Rhinolophus ferrumequinum: one gene and its partner. The protein of the gene in region 1 purifies or fractionates together with the protein of each later gene. This does not show direct contact. Links are inferred from orthologs where the notes say so. Each region holds a gene or a part of one and is shown in the gene's direction. Other genes may lie near its edges.

What was found. The genes of interacting proteins can lie anywhere in the genome.
Region 2: the proteins of FOXJ1 (region 1) and RFX3 purify together in Homo sapiens (affinity purification with mass spectrometry; 3 studies listed by BioGRID and IntAct, counting the BioPlex papers as one, with this or other methods). This does not show direct contact. The link is inferred for Rhinolophus ferrumequinum from reciprocal best matches to the Homo sapiens genes FOXJ1 and RFX3.

The regions. Positions count from the first base shown.
Region 1 is NC_046304.1:50,902,756-50,910,729, reverse strand, and holds the start of FOXJ1 (forkhead box protein J1), read left to right. Parts: upstream 1-4,875; 5' UTR 4,876-5,046; intron 5,047-5,608; 5' UTR 5,609-5,776; coding exon 5,777-6,274; intron 6,275-7,974. Other genes in the region: E3 ubiquitin ligase RNF157, read left to right, coding at 1,098-1,219. UniProt on the Homo sapiens protein: Transcription factor specifically required for the formation of motile cilia. Acts by activating transcription of genes that mediate assembly of motile cilia, such as CFAP157.
Region 2 is NC_046295.1:32,635,215-32,643,384, forward strand, and holds the start of RFX3 (transcription factor RFX3), read left to right. Parts: upstream 1-4,917; 5' UTR 4,918-5,131; intron 5,132-8,170. UniProt on the Homo sapiens protein: Transcription factor required for ciliogenesis and islet cell differentiation during endocrine pancreas development. Essential for the differentiation of nodal monocilia and left-right asymmetry specification during embryogenesis.

The DNA.
Region 1 (7,974 bases):
TTTCCTCTCAGAGGAGCTTCTGGCTGCACTGGATGGAGCCAGGCTGTGGGCTGGGGGAACCGTTAAGGGGAGGTGGAGGGAAGGGGTGAGGGTGGCTAAGCAAAGCTGGGGGCGCTGGTTGTTGAGCACAGCCTGCCAGCCGGAGCCCTGCTCAGCACTGTCCCGCGCTACCTGTTGTCATCACTGCAGCCCTGTGAAGTAAGGAAAGTGACCTGTCTGGGCTGACAGTCCGTACTCAGGAACTGGGAGTGGAGCCCAGGTGTTCTGATGACTAATTGAGACGTAACTGGGGAGTGCACAGCGGGGCAGCGATGGACTGGGTACAGAGCACGAAGGAGAGAGAAGAAAGGGTTTTGCACCACAGCAGCCGGTGCTCCACGTGCAAGAAGGCAGGCTGGGGGAGATGATGAGTTTAGTAGGTGATACCTGTGGGACCCTAAGGCTCTGGGGCTAATGTCTCCTGGGGTTGATGGCACCAGCTGATAGCAAACCTCAGCGGCTGCTAGGCTGCTGCTCGGGTCAGAAAGAGATGAAGAGCAACAGGTGTGGGGGAAGGGGTGCTGGAACCCTCATCGCCCTGTCCTCCCCCAATGCCACTGGGTCCCTGGCACCCTGCTGGGCAGCCAGTCACTTCCGGCCCCCCAACCTCCAGCGAACAAAGAACGCTAACACTCTGGGCCCAAATGAACACACTCTTCTGCGTCCCCTCCACTTCTTCCTGCCCTGAGGAAGATCTCAGCTAGACCCCCTTTCTTTTTCCTTGTCCGCCATAACATATGGCCCAAGTTCAAAACAAATGAAATACAAAAGTGGATCCTAGGGCACGTTCACAAAACAAGGAACCTCCTGCGTGTCCCTCTGTCAGTGGGCCACAGTGGCCATGCCTACCTAGCCCGGTGGGGCAGGAGCAGCCCCCTGCACCTGGTGGCGCCTACTTCTGCCCGTACTCTCACACAATGTGGCCGGCATGTGCACACAAGTTTCAGGTAACACGCATCCTGCTACGTCTGTGCCGAGCTCCTGGGCTGCCCTGCTGGAGACACCATCTGGACCTGGCCAAAGGTCTGCCTCCTATAACCTTCCTTTCTCTCCTCCAGGTACCTGGCAAGCAGATGACAACGTAGTCAGCCATCACAACACACAGCGCCGGCGCTTATCATCCAGCAGTCTGGAGGACGCAGAGAACAGGCCCTGCGTGTGGGGTCCTTTGGCCGTCTGAGAGCCCCACCCCTGTCACAGGGCTGCCTGCCTGACCCCGTGGTCCATCCTGGCCTCACTGGACCGCTGGCCTCCTGGGCATGCTCAGCAAGACACATGGAGACTTGGATACCGTGGGAAAGCCGGACACTGAGGTCAGCCTGCTCCTCCCAGCCTCATCTCCTGCCATAACCGTGATCCCTCCCCTCAGAAGGGACCGGAAGCCTCCTTTCTGCTTGTGGGCGGAAGCCATCGATGAACTGCGCCTCATGAGACCCTTTGCAGAGATGCTGTGGAATTTTCCCACCATATTGCTTGGTCTTCGTTCAGGTGACACCCAGGTCCACAGGCTGATAGTGCATCTTTCTCCTCCTTAGGGGTTAGAACAAGACGACTTGGAGTTTTAGCAGCTTCACCACAGACGCCCATCTGGCATTTTCTGGTTTCTGGGACATCTTAACCAATTTGAAACCTCCAATTTGGGGTGGGGTTGGGGGATGACTCCTGTGAGAAGGGAAAGCCATATTGCACTGTAAGTAGAGATTCCCTCAAAAAGCTCCTTTCCGAAGGACAAGGGACATGGTGGCAAACAAAAGGTTGGTTGAAAAGACAGTTCTTCCTTCTGGCAGCCGAGCTAGTCTCCTGTGCCTTGTGTGTCTGTGTGCTTAGGAAGGAGGTCTTGAACCTGAGAATCCCCCCATTAAACAGTTACCCTCGGGAGGGTTTCTTAGCATCAGGTGCATTCGTGAAGGACTGGCACTCCATCCTAAGGTGACATTTCAAAAAACACACTTTCTGACGACCTGTATGCGCCAGGCACTGTTAGGAGTTGTCATATATTATCACATTTCATCACTACGGCCCTGTCAGGTGGCATTCGTATCCCTATTTCCCCGTCTCCACCCCTTTTTGTTAATAGTTGAAGAAATGGGCTGAGGGAAGGGTGGGCCAGTGATCCTCCCATTGGAGCCCAGGAGCCCCAACAGAAATGGTGGAAAGTGTGGAGCCGGCCAGCAGGGGGCTGGGAGCCAGGGCCTTCACCTCTGGGAGCTCCCCACCCCCACGTTCTCCTCCCCTGCCTTCCAGTTCTCCTGAGCTTGATAGGGGAGGGGGAGGTACTGCCTTCCACAGGCTCATTAGACATTTAGAGCTATTGTTCACATCTCGTGCCCACCCCAGCCCAGTGAGGTGGCTGCAACAGCGAGCCTGGACCGCAAGCTGCAGGGTGGTACTCCGCTCTCAACAATTGTGTTATGGTATCCACACTGCTCTTGCTTTGTGCTTTAGTGAACAGCACAGCATTGGGAAGCAAAACTAGGTACAACAATATGTAAGGCTGAGATGTGGCTCTGTTCTTCCTGATGGCCTGTCTTAGTATTTGGAATTGTCACCCTAGAAGAGCTTCTCGGGGCCATTTCAAGGGCCTCAGAGAGCCAGTGCCCAGGGGATCCACTGCACGTTCTGTGTGGCTTCTGTGCACTGTCAGGTACGCGGTGACCCTCACGGGTTGTGGCTCACATCCTGCCCTGGTATGGGGCGGGGGAGGGGAGGTGACTTGTTCTGACAGATGTAATATGAGCCATGCCAGACTCTAAGCTTCTGTCTTGAGTTCCCACACCCACCCTGTCTGAAATCCTGCAGTGGACCCTGCTGGTTCAGGCCCAACTTCATGACCTTTCTTTCTCCCACCTTTCCTATTTAAGATCTGAGCAATAACCCCACTCCCCGATTCCTTGAAGCTGGAGCTCCCCTTAGCCTAGGGTGGTGGCACACAGACCCACCTCCTCTCCCAGCAGGTAGTATCCACAGTGTGGTGTTACCTGAGATGAAGGAGATGCAGGTAAACAGTAGCCACAGTGGCCAGGAACCGCAAGAGGAAGTCGTTATCTTCACCTGTTCTGGAGGGTCTTTGTCCTCTCCCAGGAAGAGGCTCAGAAAGCTTCCTCCAGGCCTTGCCATATCTGCATTAGAAGGGCCCTTCACTCCTAGTTTCTCAGACACTTCCTTTCTTCCCTCTCACTCCTCTTGTTCTCATTTAAATCTTTGGCAAGCAGAATATCCCACCCAAAGGGGCTGGTCCCCAGTCAGCCTGATCAGGGAACAGGGCAGCTGCCAACCCTACTGGCCCATCCATCATCTGGAGACGGTGCGTCCGGATGGTGTGGCGATCCAGGCCTCCTCAGAGCCTTTCTTCCTTCCCTACCCAGTTCCATCCCACCAGAGCTCATGCCCACGCTGGGACACCTCCTGGGCACAGACCTACACACTTTAAGCCGTCTCACCCGGGGAGAGTTAGTGTCCTGTCCGCCTGATCTCGGCACGCTTGTTGGTCACTTTGCTTTAGGATTTGCACACCTGGTGTGTGCAAGTGTGTGTGTGTACTGTTGTGCCATCTGTGTACCCCTCTCACTCCCTGGAGTTACACTCATGGGCACACTACAGTGGGGACATCGAGGATGCAATATTTATGGATTGCTGCATGATTCCTAAAAATGAATAAAACTGTTTACACAGGAAGGAGAGCTGTTAACTGCACAATTGGCCTATTTGTGAAAAGTTTCTATCCGACTTTCTCCAGCACTCTTTCATACTTTTACTCTAGACAATCTGGAAGTGGAGGAGTGGAAGAGGGCAAGGGGTAGGAAGGACATGCCCCTGGGTAGGAGTTGCTGTACCATCCCCTGTGCACAGGCTTCCCACCCCAGCCCTCCAGGGCCGGGCAGACGCCTGAGTAAGGAGCTCTCACCCCCACCCTCTCCTGTAAACCCGAGAACTTCCAACATTGCAGCTCCTCAATAATTGAAAAGCAGAGAAGCTGGTGACAGGAGGGAGGCCCGGAAAAGGGAGGAGGAAGGGCCACAGTCCCGGAGTGACTCCACCCTTAGTCGCTGTCACTTAAAGGTTGGGGAAATTAATGGGGTAAATGACCCCGCTATGAGATTTTGGCAAGTCCATGGCTTTTCTGAGTTTGACTCACCGGCTCTACTTCCTAAGCTATCTGGAAAGGAGGGAGAACACTGCCGCAGAAGTTTCTGGAATGTCAGGGGTGGGGAGGAAGCCGCTTACCGGGAAAATGGATTACCCTACCCGCCTTGGTGTGTCTGCCATTTCTGCGGCCCTGAGCGGCAGGTGGCATCGGAGAGTCAGACCTGCCGCGGACAGCAGAGCCGATACTCCGGATCGCGAGGGAGGGACAGGCCGCGGAAACGTGAGGGAGTGTCACTCGCAGCCCAGAGGAGAGGAAATGAAACCCCCAGCACACGGTTCCCAAGTCTGAGCCCGCTCCCAGCCTTGGCTCCCGCTCCCGGGGCTGCGTCCCTGGAGCCGTCGATGCCTCGGAGCAGCTGGGACAGGAAGGGTCGGGGCGGGAGTACGGTTCCCGGGGCAAACGGCTCGCCGGGGTGCGCGGGTCTCCACCAGAGCGCCGAGCCGCGCGCTTCTCCGAGCCCTGCGCGCTTCTCCATTCCCTTGGGCGGGAATGCGCGGAGCCCAAGTCGCGGTGGCGGGTAGGGGGCTGGGTGGCGCGGGAGAGGGCAGCAGAAGGAGGGAGTTCCAAGAGAGTTACCGCCAGATAGAGAGGCAAGAGCCCGCGGTCTCCTTGGATACTGCTAACCAATGGCAGCAGCGAAAGCTGTTTATAGGGGCGGGGTGTCGTCATGGCAACAGGAGAAGCCTTTGGAGCGGCTACTTAATGCCGGTCCCGGGGCCGCTGGCGCTCAGAGAAGCGCCGTCGGGCTGGGGGGCGACGAGCGGCGCTACCGGGGCCCTGGAGCTGGGGGCAGAAAGCCACAGGGTTGGGAAGAACTTCTTCCAGAACCTTCCTTTGGCCTGGGCTGCGCTCTGAGCCAGGTAAGGGACCGGGAGGGCTGCGGGACGCAGGGAGGGACGTCAGTACCAGCCGGCTCTCCTATCGGTCCCCGACGGAAGTGGTGGGCCCGGCGACTGACATCTGAGGAGTTTGGGGTAACTCACTTCCCGTTCCCATAACTCTGTCCTGTTCCCTTCCTTCTCCGTGATCTTCCATCCTAATATCCCTTTTCAAAGATCAGACGACCTCCCCAGTTCCCCGCCCCGTCGTATTGCCCTCTTTGGTTCCCTTGCCCCATTAGCATTTGTTGCAGGGTAGGGGTGTCTGATTTCCCGCTCTTGGGGAGAAGGGGATAGCCTTGGATGCCGCTGTCCTCTTCCCTCATTTGGCTACTAAAGTCTCCTCTCCAACCTCAAAAAGGAAAATTGCGAGCGAGGTGGACCCGGGGGGTCGGACCCCAGGGCTCTGCTTCTGTTTCCCAGACCTCCACACTACAAGATCCTCCAGGCTGCGGGGACGATTTTAGAGGAGCCTTCCTCCTCGCACACACCCCGCTCTCGGGGGGTGGGGGAAGAGTGCTCACTCCCGCTGTGGTCCCCGCAGGCCCCACATTCCTATTCCGAAGAGGCCACCCCCGGGTCGCGGGACGGAAGCGCGCGTCCAGGAGGCTGTGTAACTGGAGCTGCAGAAGTCAGAGGGCCAGAGAGCACGGCGGCCACCCTTGGCTCAGCCCTTGGATGTTGACCGCCCCCTCGGAGAGTCCCCGCAGACATGGCGGAGAGCTGGCTACGCCTCTCTGGAGCGGGGACGGCGGAGGATGCCGGGCCGGAGGGCGGCCTGGAGGAGCCCGACACCCTGGATGACAGCCTGACCAGCCTGCAGTGGCTGCAGGAATTCTCCATTCTCAACGCCAAGGCCCCTACCCTGCCCCCGGGGGGTACCGACCCCCACGGCTACCACCAGGTTCCAGGCTCTGCGGCGCCTGGGTCCCCCCTCGCGGCGGATCCCGCCTGCCTGGGGCAGCCGCACACGCCAGGCAAGCCCACGTCGTCGTGCACGTCTCGGAGCTCGCCCCCGGGACTGCAGGCCCCGCCCCCAGACGACGTGGACTACGCCACCAACCCTCATGTGAAGCCGCCCTACTCATATGCCACGCTCATCTGCATGGCCATGCAGGCCAGCAAGGCCACCAAGATCACCCTGTCCGCCATCTATAAATGGATCACGGACAACTTCTGCTACTTCCGCCATGCAGATCCAACCTGGCAGGTAGGGGAGGTGCGGCTTGTGGTCGCTCGCTTCCCACTCTCTTCCTCCCTCTCCACTCTTGCCCTTACTGGACTCACATCCCAGATCCTCAGCCTAGTAGGTGCAGCCCAGCCAGGGCCCCAAGGGAGGAAGGCCGTAGGAGCCCAGTGCTTGGAACTGCCCCTCATTTGACTTTAGAGAAGAAGGAGGGTGGGTGTTCAGAGGGCTTTAGGGATGCAAACGCTGAGGTTCGCTCATCCAGGAGGCTCAGCCCAAGGACCAGAGCCAGACTATGCATGGACACAGTCCCCTAGGTGAGGGTGATAGACTGAGGGACACATTTTCGTCCCAAGTGCTAGGATTCCTAGACACTGCGTTGCCCAAGGACAGTTTGTCATGACCTGACTCAGAAACGGAAGCTGGAGCATCGCCCCCTGCCAAGCTCTGCACGCAGTTGGCTTGCTGGGGAATGCAGGAGGTGTGAAGGCCAGATGTGTTCCAGTGGAGGGGGAACAGGGCCTTCCTAAAACAGCTATCCCAGCCCCCCACTCCAGCCCCTCCCCAGTTTCCTGCCCCCACTCCTTCCCCTCTTCTCAGTCACCCTCCCTGGGGGAACAATTACCTGAGCCAGGTGCTTTCCACTGGGGCTCTGCCTCCTGCACTGGCTTCATATTCCGAGTCTCCGGAACCTGGCGCAGAGCAGCCAAGGGGCCAGGCCACCATGTAAACATCCCAGCCTTGGCAGGGTCACTACCCACTCATCCACCCTGCTGCCCAGCCCCCAGACTGCTGTCTCCAGCATGGTTTGGATAAGACTATGCACCTAGGAATGAACAAGGCAGGATGGTGATTTGAGGCGGGGCAGATATTGCCCTGAGAGTCTTCAACCATTGGGATCAGGGGCTAGTTGGGGACAGAGGCCCCAGGGATACCCAGACTCTTCTGGGGCACCCACAGGCAGCAGGCCGCAAGATCACAGTCTCAAGCTCTTCTACACTCGCTTGGGCCCAGACTCTGAGGTAGTCCCATATGTAGCCTCAGTGAGAAATCAGAGACCCCCACCCAACCCCAAGCCTTGGAAGTTCAGGCTGCGGAAGTGGGCCCCAGGAATGAGCACTTATGCTCTTTGCTGTGTAACAATCAACTGAGGCCTCACAGCCTGAGGTGGGAGGAGGGGGTCGTGGGGGGTGAGGGCCCAGGCCAGCAGTCCGCTTAACAAACAAGGGATGTCATCAGATCCCACCACATTTCATCCCTCCACACACTCGCGTGTGCCTGCACAGGTGTGCATGTACACACACACACACGCACACAACCTCGGTCGCCCAGTGCCCCTCACCGCAGCTTTGCCTGGAAACCACCTCAAGCGTACCCTCATGGTACTCCACAGAGAGGGCCAGCCAGGCCCCGGTGGAGGGAGATGGCTGTCCAGGCCCTGGGGGAGCTGAGGCCCTTGGCCAGAGGCCGCAAGCGGTGGGGTAAGGGAGGGCGGGCAGGATAGGGTGGCACTGAGAGCCACCCTGCAGCTCAGGGCTCGGATGATTGAGCAGGCAGATATCCCAGCAACAGGGAACAAAAGCGCCCGACAGCACTCCTGGCTCCGGGTGCCCTGTGGCTGGTGTCCCAGAGCCTCCCAGTCAGAGCAGCGCCTCTGTCCCCCCTCCCCTGTCAGAGAGTAGATGGTAGGAGGACATGCAGGAGCATTAGCAGCCACCCGTCAC
Region 2 (8,170 bases), on another chromosome or scaffold:
CCACTGTACAAGGTATATTTTTGTGTTTCTTGTCCCTAAAAATAAGTTATTAAGCAAAAAAACCACAAAATTTTTGGAAAGATATTCCATGCACATAAATTCTCACTTTACACAACAAACAAAAAAAGGCATCAGAAGAGACAAATTTATGGAATTTGAATCAATGATTTTTATTTTTTCTTTATATTAGTAGTTGATAAAAATATTTAGAAGGGTAAAAAAAATTCAGTTATATGCTTTAACAATGGCATATTAGTCAAAAAAAATTTAAATGTAGGCTTAATAATGTATTGTGATGGTGGGGGGAGGGAGGATAAGATGTATGTATTCCAGGGGGAATATACTTTTAATATGTTTAAAATAGGAATAATGGCCCGACAGGAACTTAGGAGATGTTTTTTCCAGACTGTACATTAAAGGGGAAAAAAATTAAAGAGAGAGTCAACTTAAGAATTTCTTTGGCAGTTGAAGACTATGGCTCAAATAAAATCATTTTTGATAAATATTTTTGATATTAATTGAATAAAAATAAAAAGCTTTTCAGCACATATTGACATTAATTGCTGATTAAATTATAAGAGTTAACCTCTAATAGAGTTCAAGTTCATTGCCTGGTAAAAGTCTACTTGGGGTTCACAAAATTCTTAAGAAATGAAATGCTGGTAGAAGTATCTATTAACTTTATTTATATTAGTATTTCCTCCACCAAAAAAAAACCTCCTAATTTCACAGACGTATTACATAAACGCATGTTTAGCATTTTGAAACAATTCACTGATGTGCCATCTCTGAAAATTCATGAAAATTACAATTGTAGAATTGAGATCATTCAAGTCTTTTAATTCTTAATTTATAAATATTTCCTTCCACCTCCAATCTTAACTGTTAGAGAGTTTACATAACTTTCTCAACCTGGTCAGAGTTAGCACCAAAATCTCTCAAGTACTCCTAATGTTATCTCAGAAGAAAGTTATTCTCGATAATCATCTAGAGTTCACTCAAAGCAATTTCTTTAGTTTCTAGATGTATTCAGGATTAGAAAGTAGCAGGACTCATTTCTTTGAGCAGCAAATCAACATTACCTACCGTATGGTCACACTTGACACATATTTGAAAATTTATCAAGGATAATCTTACTACCTATTACTTATCATCTTTCTGTGCTGGGGTAAAAAAATAATTCCAAGTTATATATAAGGATGGACATACTTAGGAATGCTGAGTAAATACTTGGTTTGTATTACTTAAATAAAACACAATTAGAAAGACAAATCTACGAAAAAAAACAAAGAAAACAAAACCTATAATGTTTTCAAAACCAAAATATACTTTGGGTGGGTATGGGTAAAGTTGGGGGTGCTCCAGAGAAGAGTGGCAAATTATGTATAGTTTGAATTGCCTTGGCCTCTATCACTCCCTATTATTATTGACAATTATCATATATCCACAGAATTTCAGATCTACGGCATTTAATAATCCAGTAGTCTAATTCCCCAGTGCTCTGCATATCTTAAGTAGTCAATAAATGGTTGAAATGAAACCATTCATTTCACGAGAACTAAAACTCTAGGTGTCTCTTAATTTAAGAAAATTGGGTATTATAATGAAGTATACAATTTTTAAGTAGATGTGACTTCTGCTTTATAATAAGGATTCCCCACAAATTCAGTGGTAAGCTGCCACAGACCAATACATTAATTTTCAAAACTCTCATACATACAATTTTTTGGAAGTGAACCATCACATATCAGTATTTTATCTTTTCATAGGCAGCTTTTCCTTCTACAAGCATTAATGTCAGTCCTTGAATATTCGGTAGATATCAACAGGAGAAAATAACCTAATAGATAATATTGAAAAGGAAACTTCCCCATGAGAATGTACTAATTTATAAAGTATATAATCTATACCTAAATAATCAGGGCTTTGTATTTTTCAAATGATTCAGATACAAATCTGTTAACTGTCTAATATCTCTGAGCTGAGAGCAAAAACAATCCAAGTTCAAAGGACATAACATTTTAAATTCATAGATACTGACTTTGAGCATTTCACAGACAGGAACTATGTCTGGTCCATTTTAGGTACTCAACAAATAATTACTGCATTAACAGTTTATCGAATTTGTCAAGAACTGTTAAGATACTTTTTGGTTAGATACCTTTTATCATTGAGCCCAGTGTGTAATGCACTATAACAGATAATAAATGTTAGACAATGCTCTTTTCTGTGACTTAACAAATAATTTATTTCTGAAATATATACACAACATATATGAAGATGCAACTATACAGCTTAAAAATGACGAAAAAGGAGATCCAATCAGAACTGACTATAGGCAAACAGATTTCTAGGTCCTTTCATAACTATTTATATAGCAGAAAACAATACATGCATATATATATAATCCAACATGTTTTTGAATCTATAGCTTGAACTGGTGGCTTATTTGATTCAGTGTGGTAGTAACATTGAAAAATTCATATTAATCTCACTCTGGTTAGAAGTTCTAAATCTGAACTTTTAAATAACTTACTTAAGGAAATTTATTCCTAAGGAAAAAGCCAAATCAGAAAGTAGGTTAAAAAAGTCTCTAAGCAGCTTAAAACTGATATTATAATGTCCTTGCACAAAGGTTGCAAACTTTTTCTAAAGGAGAGTTCCTCAAAGTACCTGTTTATACTCTTGAGACAGTTTTGCTCAAGCTTCATTATGTGGTTTTCTTGCCTGTAGATTAAAAGCAGCAAATTAAAAGGGTGGGGAGGCTAACAGAACTGTTCACTGACAGCAGTTAAGAAGCAACAGCTGACAGTGAGGGAAGGGGCAGGCTAACCACAACAGACAATAGCACTAAAAAAGCAAAGCTATTCTGAGCTGTGTAGTGTGAGCAAACAGTTTCGTACACCATTATAGGAATATAATAAAACGAATATTCATAATGACTACCAGTTTTCATACAGCTGGAATGCATACCTTATTTCCCATGTGTATGTTGCAATTTTTATTCTAAATTTGAAGAATTGAACTGCTGTTGGTCACATTATCATTTGTCTCAGACTAGAAGGGCTACTAGTACCGTGGTGAGTCATGCAACCTTTCAGCTTTAGCACTGTGCTCACCACTGTTCACTATTACATTGTAACACATTATAAGAACCTCTATAACTCATTATAAGATTACCAAAGGCAACATCACTTTTTTAAATCTATTAATAGTGGATTCCAAACTACCCTTCCCTAATATCCCATGACACAGAGCCCTAAGAGAAAATCACTGACTTTTAAGACTGTGCCTGTGTTCTCTAAAATATTATGTACCTAATAGTGTTGAGGATTAAATGAGATAATGTATGTAAAACACTGCGGCAGTGTTAAGACCTTAGTAATGGTCGCTATTATTATTTTAGCACTGTGAATTTATGTAGGCCCAAACCCCTTATTTTGCAGGTGCAAAAATTAAGCCTCAAGAATAGGACGGACTTCCTATGGCTCTACTTCTAAGGTTATTGTCTTGGATAAGCAGCTTAGCTGCCTGTGTTGGAGGTTTGGGGTACTGGCTGGGCCTGGGGGCATGTGCCTGCAGGAGTCCTGTCTGCAGAGAACTGGACGACTATATTTGAACCGTTAAGTATCAGAGGCTGTGCAATACCAAGGGCAGCGGTTCGAGATGGCCAGTAGTGTGGTAACAACATCCACTACAGAAGGAAGCCTGTTCGTCTGTCTCAATACAGCAGGTTGTCAAGTAACCGGGGCATAGGGCCAGGAAAGCAATAGAATCGGGGGTTGAGCTCAAATCCCGGTTCGGTCAACTTTAAAGAGGGACGAGCACTTTACTTAAGGGCTGAAGATAGCGCGGAACTAGAAACTAACTGGGTGCTACCTCGGAAGGTGTAAGTTACCGCACCCCTCAACGCCTTTCGCGGAGGTGGACCGCCACGCGTTTCCACATCGTCCCGGCAGGGCAGTTTTTCGCTGCTTTCTAGCACTTACTCCCCGCCCCATAGGTACGGAGTGATAACCTCGCTTTTCCTTCTGGAATGAGGGCTGGATGAGTTCAGACCTTTCTCTCTGCGCGCCACGCAGCGGCGGGACCGCGGGAGGCCGGCGCGCTGCCCACACGCGCGGCTCATCTGCTCTAAGATGGCGACGATGGCCGCTCGCTCACGCCTCGCCGCCCGCTCTCCCCGGAATTTTGGCCTCAGGAGGCGGGAGCGGGCCAGGGCGCAGAAAGCAGGAGGGCGAAAACGGCTCGGACCCTCCAGTGCAGCGCAGGCTACGGAGCCCTAACGGGCCAAGGCATGCTATAAGGCGGATACAACTAGGAACACCGCCGTAGCCTGAGAAACGAAGGGGGATTAAAAAAAAAAAAAAAAGGAAAAAAAGAAAAAGGGAAAAAAAATAAATAAAAGCGGCGGCACATCCGGGACCATCCGATAGCCCCGCCCCGGAAGTGACACTTTAGCAAAGGGGCGGAGGGCGCACTTGAAAGTGGGCCCTTCCCCAGCTGTTGCTGGTCTGCCCAGAGAAGTGTTTGGAATCGACCCCACCACCTTCCTTCCGTGGGTTAGCCATTACCTTCTCGCGACTCGGGGGCTCCTTTGCTAAACGCTGGCTGCTGGGACTGGCAGCTCTCGGTTCACAAAACGTACCCCTCGCACCACGCCCCTCAACTCCCCGTCCAACCTGGCCAGCGCGGGTAATAGCGTACCTTTGAGAGAACTGGGGTGACCCTAACTCCTGCCAAACCCGTGAGCTTCTATTCGGAGGCCTTACTCGGAACCCCGGCCTTGTGCCCCCACCAGCCCGGGATCTGGGGTTGTCAGTCATGGTGCTGAGCCCGCCCCTTCCGGCGACTCTCGGGGCCCGCCTCCTCCCCTTTTCCCTCCCCCACCCCTCCCCTTGCGAGTGTCTCCCTCTCCCTTTCGCTCTCTCTCTCCCTCTCTCTCTCTTTTGTGAGTTATAGCAACCGTTGCCTTGTGAATCAAGCGCCATAGTCACCGTAGTCCTGGCGACTGTTACCCATCAACAACAACTACTCCTCTCCTCCTCCTCCTCCTCCTCTTCCTCCTCCTCCTCCCCACCACCACCATCTCCATCACCCACCAACAACACCACAATAATCCACAGCCAAGGTGAATATTCTTCGGTCTCTACATGTGTGTGGGAGCGTGTGGATGCGTGTGAACGCGTGTGTCCGTGCGTGTGTGTCCGTGTGTGCGAGCCGACTGTGGCTGTGCTGGGGTCTCACTCCTGACACCGGGGGCTGCCGCTGCGGCGCCGCAGCCGAGGGGCTCCGTCCCCCGGGCTTGTTTACAATGGACCGTGCGCGCCGCGGCTGGGTCGGGGGTGTGGGCGCCGCGCAGCCCGCCCGCCGGCCGGCCCGGGCCCTCTGCGGCCGCGCTTCAGGGATGGAGCGGGAGCTCTGGGGGCTGCGAGATGAGCGGGAGAGGGAGCCACAGTTTTCCGTTGCGGATGGTGGAGCTCTCCCCTTGGTCTGATCTGAAGAAGAGAGTCAGGTGAAGAGAGAAGGGTTTTTTTCTTTAATTTAATTCTTTTTCAAAGCTGCTTGTTTCCTGCTTCTTTCAAAACCGAAATAGACAACAATGTGCCGGGCGGGGGGGTACCCAAGAGGTGGTGTTTTGTTGTTGTTGTTCACTTGTGGGGCCTTGTTAAGGGTTTTGTTATTTTTATCCTCGTACAACGGTGAACTTTTCCCACCGCCTATTCCCTTTATTTTTGCCTTGTGCTAAATGGGCTGCCTTTTTTTTTTTTTTTTTTTTTTACCATCATCAGCTGCACGGATTTCTTTTTTCTTTTAAAACTGTTTTCTTTGTGCTGCAAACAGTCTTAATATCCATTCAGCACTCTCCCCCCACCCTTTCTTCTCCCCCCACACCCCTTGCACACTGAAACCTGGGGCCTCTACGCTGGACTCCGCTGTACTGGAAAAGATTTTTTTTTAAAGTCTCTCTCCTCTCTTTTTTTGGGGTGTGTGTGTGTGTGTGTGTGTGTGTGTGCGTGCGCGTGTGCGCGCGCGCTTGTGATTTAAACCGGATGCAGGGCATCAGTGATACTTGGGTTAGTAGTTATTGACAGTGCTTTATCCTTCATGAGGAGATGGGAGGGGTAGTAGTGAGGTTCCATTTCACTTTGATGAACCTCCTTCCCCACAGTGGAGTGTTAACAATTTTCATTGTGGTTGTAAGACTTTGTGTGTGATAAACAGGGAAAGGACATGAGGAAGCTTTGTGAGAACTCAGTTTACAGTGTTATTTGTGACAGTTATGGTACTTTAAAGAGTTTTTTTTTTTCTCCATCTTTTTCTCTGTTCGCTTTTCTTTGAGAGTTGAAATTGAAGTCAAGTTGTTCATAAAGAATGTATGAAGCTTCTCAACTTGAAACGTGTGTATATTTCACTTTCTTTATGGTTGTTAAGATCTAGGCATGTGTGTACTTAACATACTCTTCTTTATTTTTGGTTTTCTTTGGGCAGTGACTTAAACATGGTGAGAGGAGAGAACTTTCTCCTTTTTAAGTCTCTTTTTAAAAAAAATCTATTTTTTTCTCTGTACATTTGAATACTTATCAGTCCTCAAGTAGTATGGCTGTTGGTGAGAGGTAACGCAGTTTTCCAGATCCTGTAAATGTGTTCATTTTTCTGCCTAACGTTTAATTAATAGATTATTATCAGTAAAGAGTTTTGATAATGAATGTGTGCTAAAACAAATATAGTATTATATTTGCACATACTGAAGTTTCCAATTTGGAATTTTAAAATACTTATTTAAATAATCTTCTTTCTAACAGTAAACATATTGATTTACCTGACAGAGCACTGTGAATAATGTAACAGTATTAATTATTCTTGAGATTGTCAAAGAGTAGGTTGGGTAATTGGAATACTATTAAGGCCAATACTTTGTAAAATAAGAGTTGTGTTTTGTTTTTGTTTTTTCTTTATTAACTCTCCCTTTTTCAATACATTTTCTTGTGATTGCTATTTTAAATGAGGATGATAGTTCTGAAAGAAGTCTTTCTCAGAGCATCCGAATTCCTTTATATTCACCCCCTCCCCAACTTGGCTTCCATGCAAATCTCTAATACTAACTTGTTATTTTTTTTTTCTTCTGTTCAGATAAGTGTCAAATGCCTGAACTCTTTTGGATGGTGAAGCTCCTGAGTCCTATAAACTCTCTCTGAAGTTAATAGGAGTTTTGCTGTCTTGAGACAGTTTCAGACCTTATGCCATTTACATAATGGGTTTTCAGCTGAATAGATTATATGCTATAATGTTATGGTTTAATATTTTTATTTGCAGTGTCCAAGAACTTTTTTGAGGCATTTCACTCATGAAAATGACCTCAGATTCAATAATTTAGACGTTCATTCACAAGTTGATTTGAAAGCAGAACTTAATTTGAATTCTATTATCCTTTTTTAAAAGCATATAGGTGATATAAAAGTTGCTGTTAGAGATGCTTTGGGCTCAAGTATGTCAATATCAATCATATGGATTGAGAAAATAACCAGAAATATTAGCAAATTACAATTTTTTAAGTTTAACAGAAGGGTAAATAGTTAGCACTTCGTTTATTCTTTCTGTGATATTTTTCCTGTAAGGGAGTATATTGTGTATTGCTATTCTTCTGTGTTCTCACTTTTTTTTTTTTTTGTTCTCACTTTTTAGACTAATAGAAATCTCTGAAAGTGAATGACCACTCTTTAAAACTAAAACTGTTAAATAGGAGTCACTTGTGGCTTGTTTTTAGTAGCTGAATATCTGTGATTCGTTGTATTGTCATAACGACTATCTCAGTCTTTTAGATTATTTTGCCTGTGAATTGAATTAACCGGTATCAGCATATTTTTGTAGTATATTTATGTGTGTAATATAGTAAACTAAAATGTATTTCTAAAATGCATCATTCCATAATTTTTCATTATATGGGGTAGTTATACCTAATTTCAAAACTAATATATTATTCCTCCAGTATTCTAATAGTCTTGTACTCTACTTAGATACTCAAATAAAATGTTTATAATTTATAATTTTAATATACTTTAACACTAACCAACTTTTTTTACCCTAAACACCGTTAATAAGGTAAATTTTTTTACCATTAAACATTAACAATTAAAAATGAATAAATCCTAAATCAAGATAGAGTCAA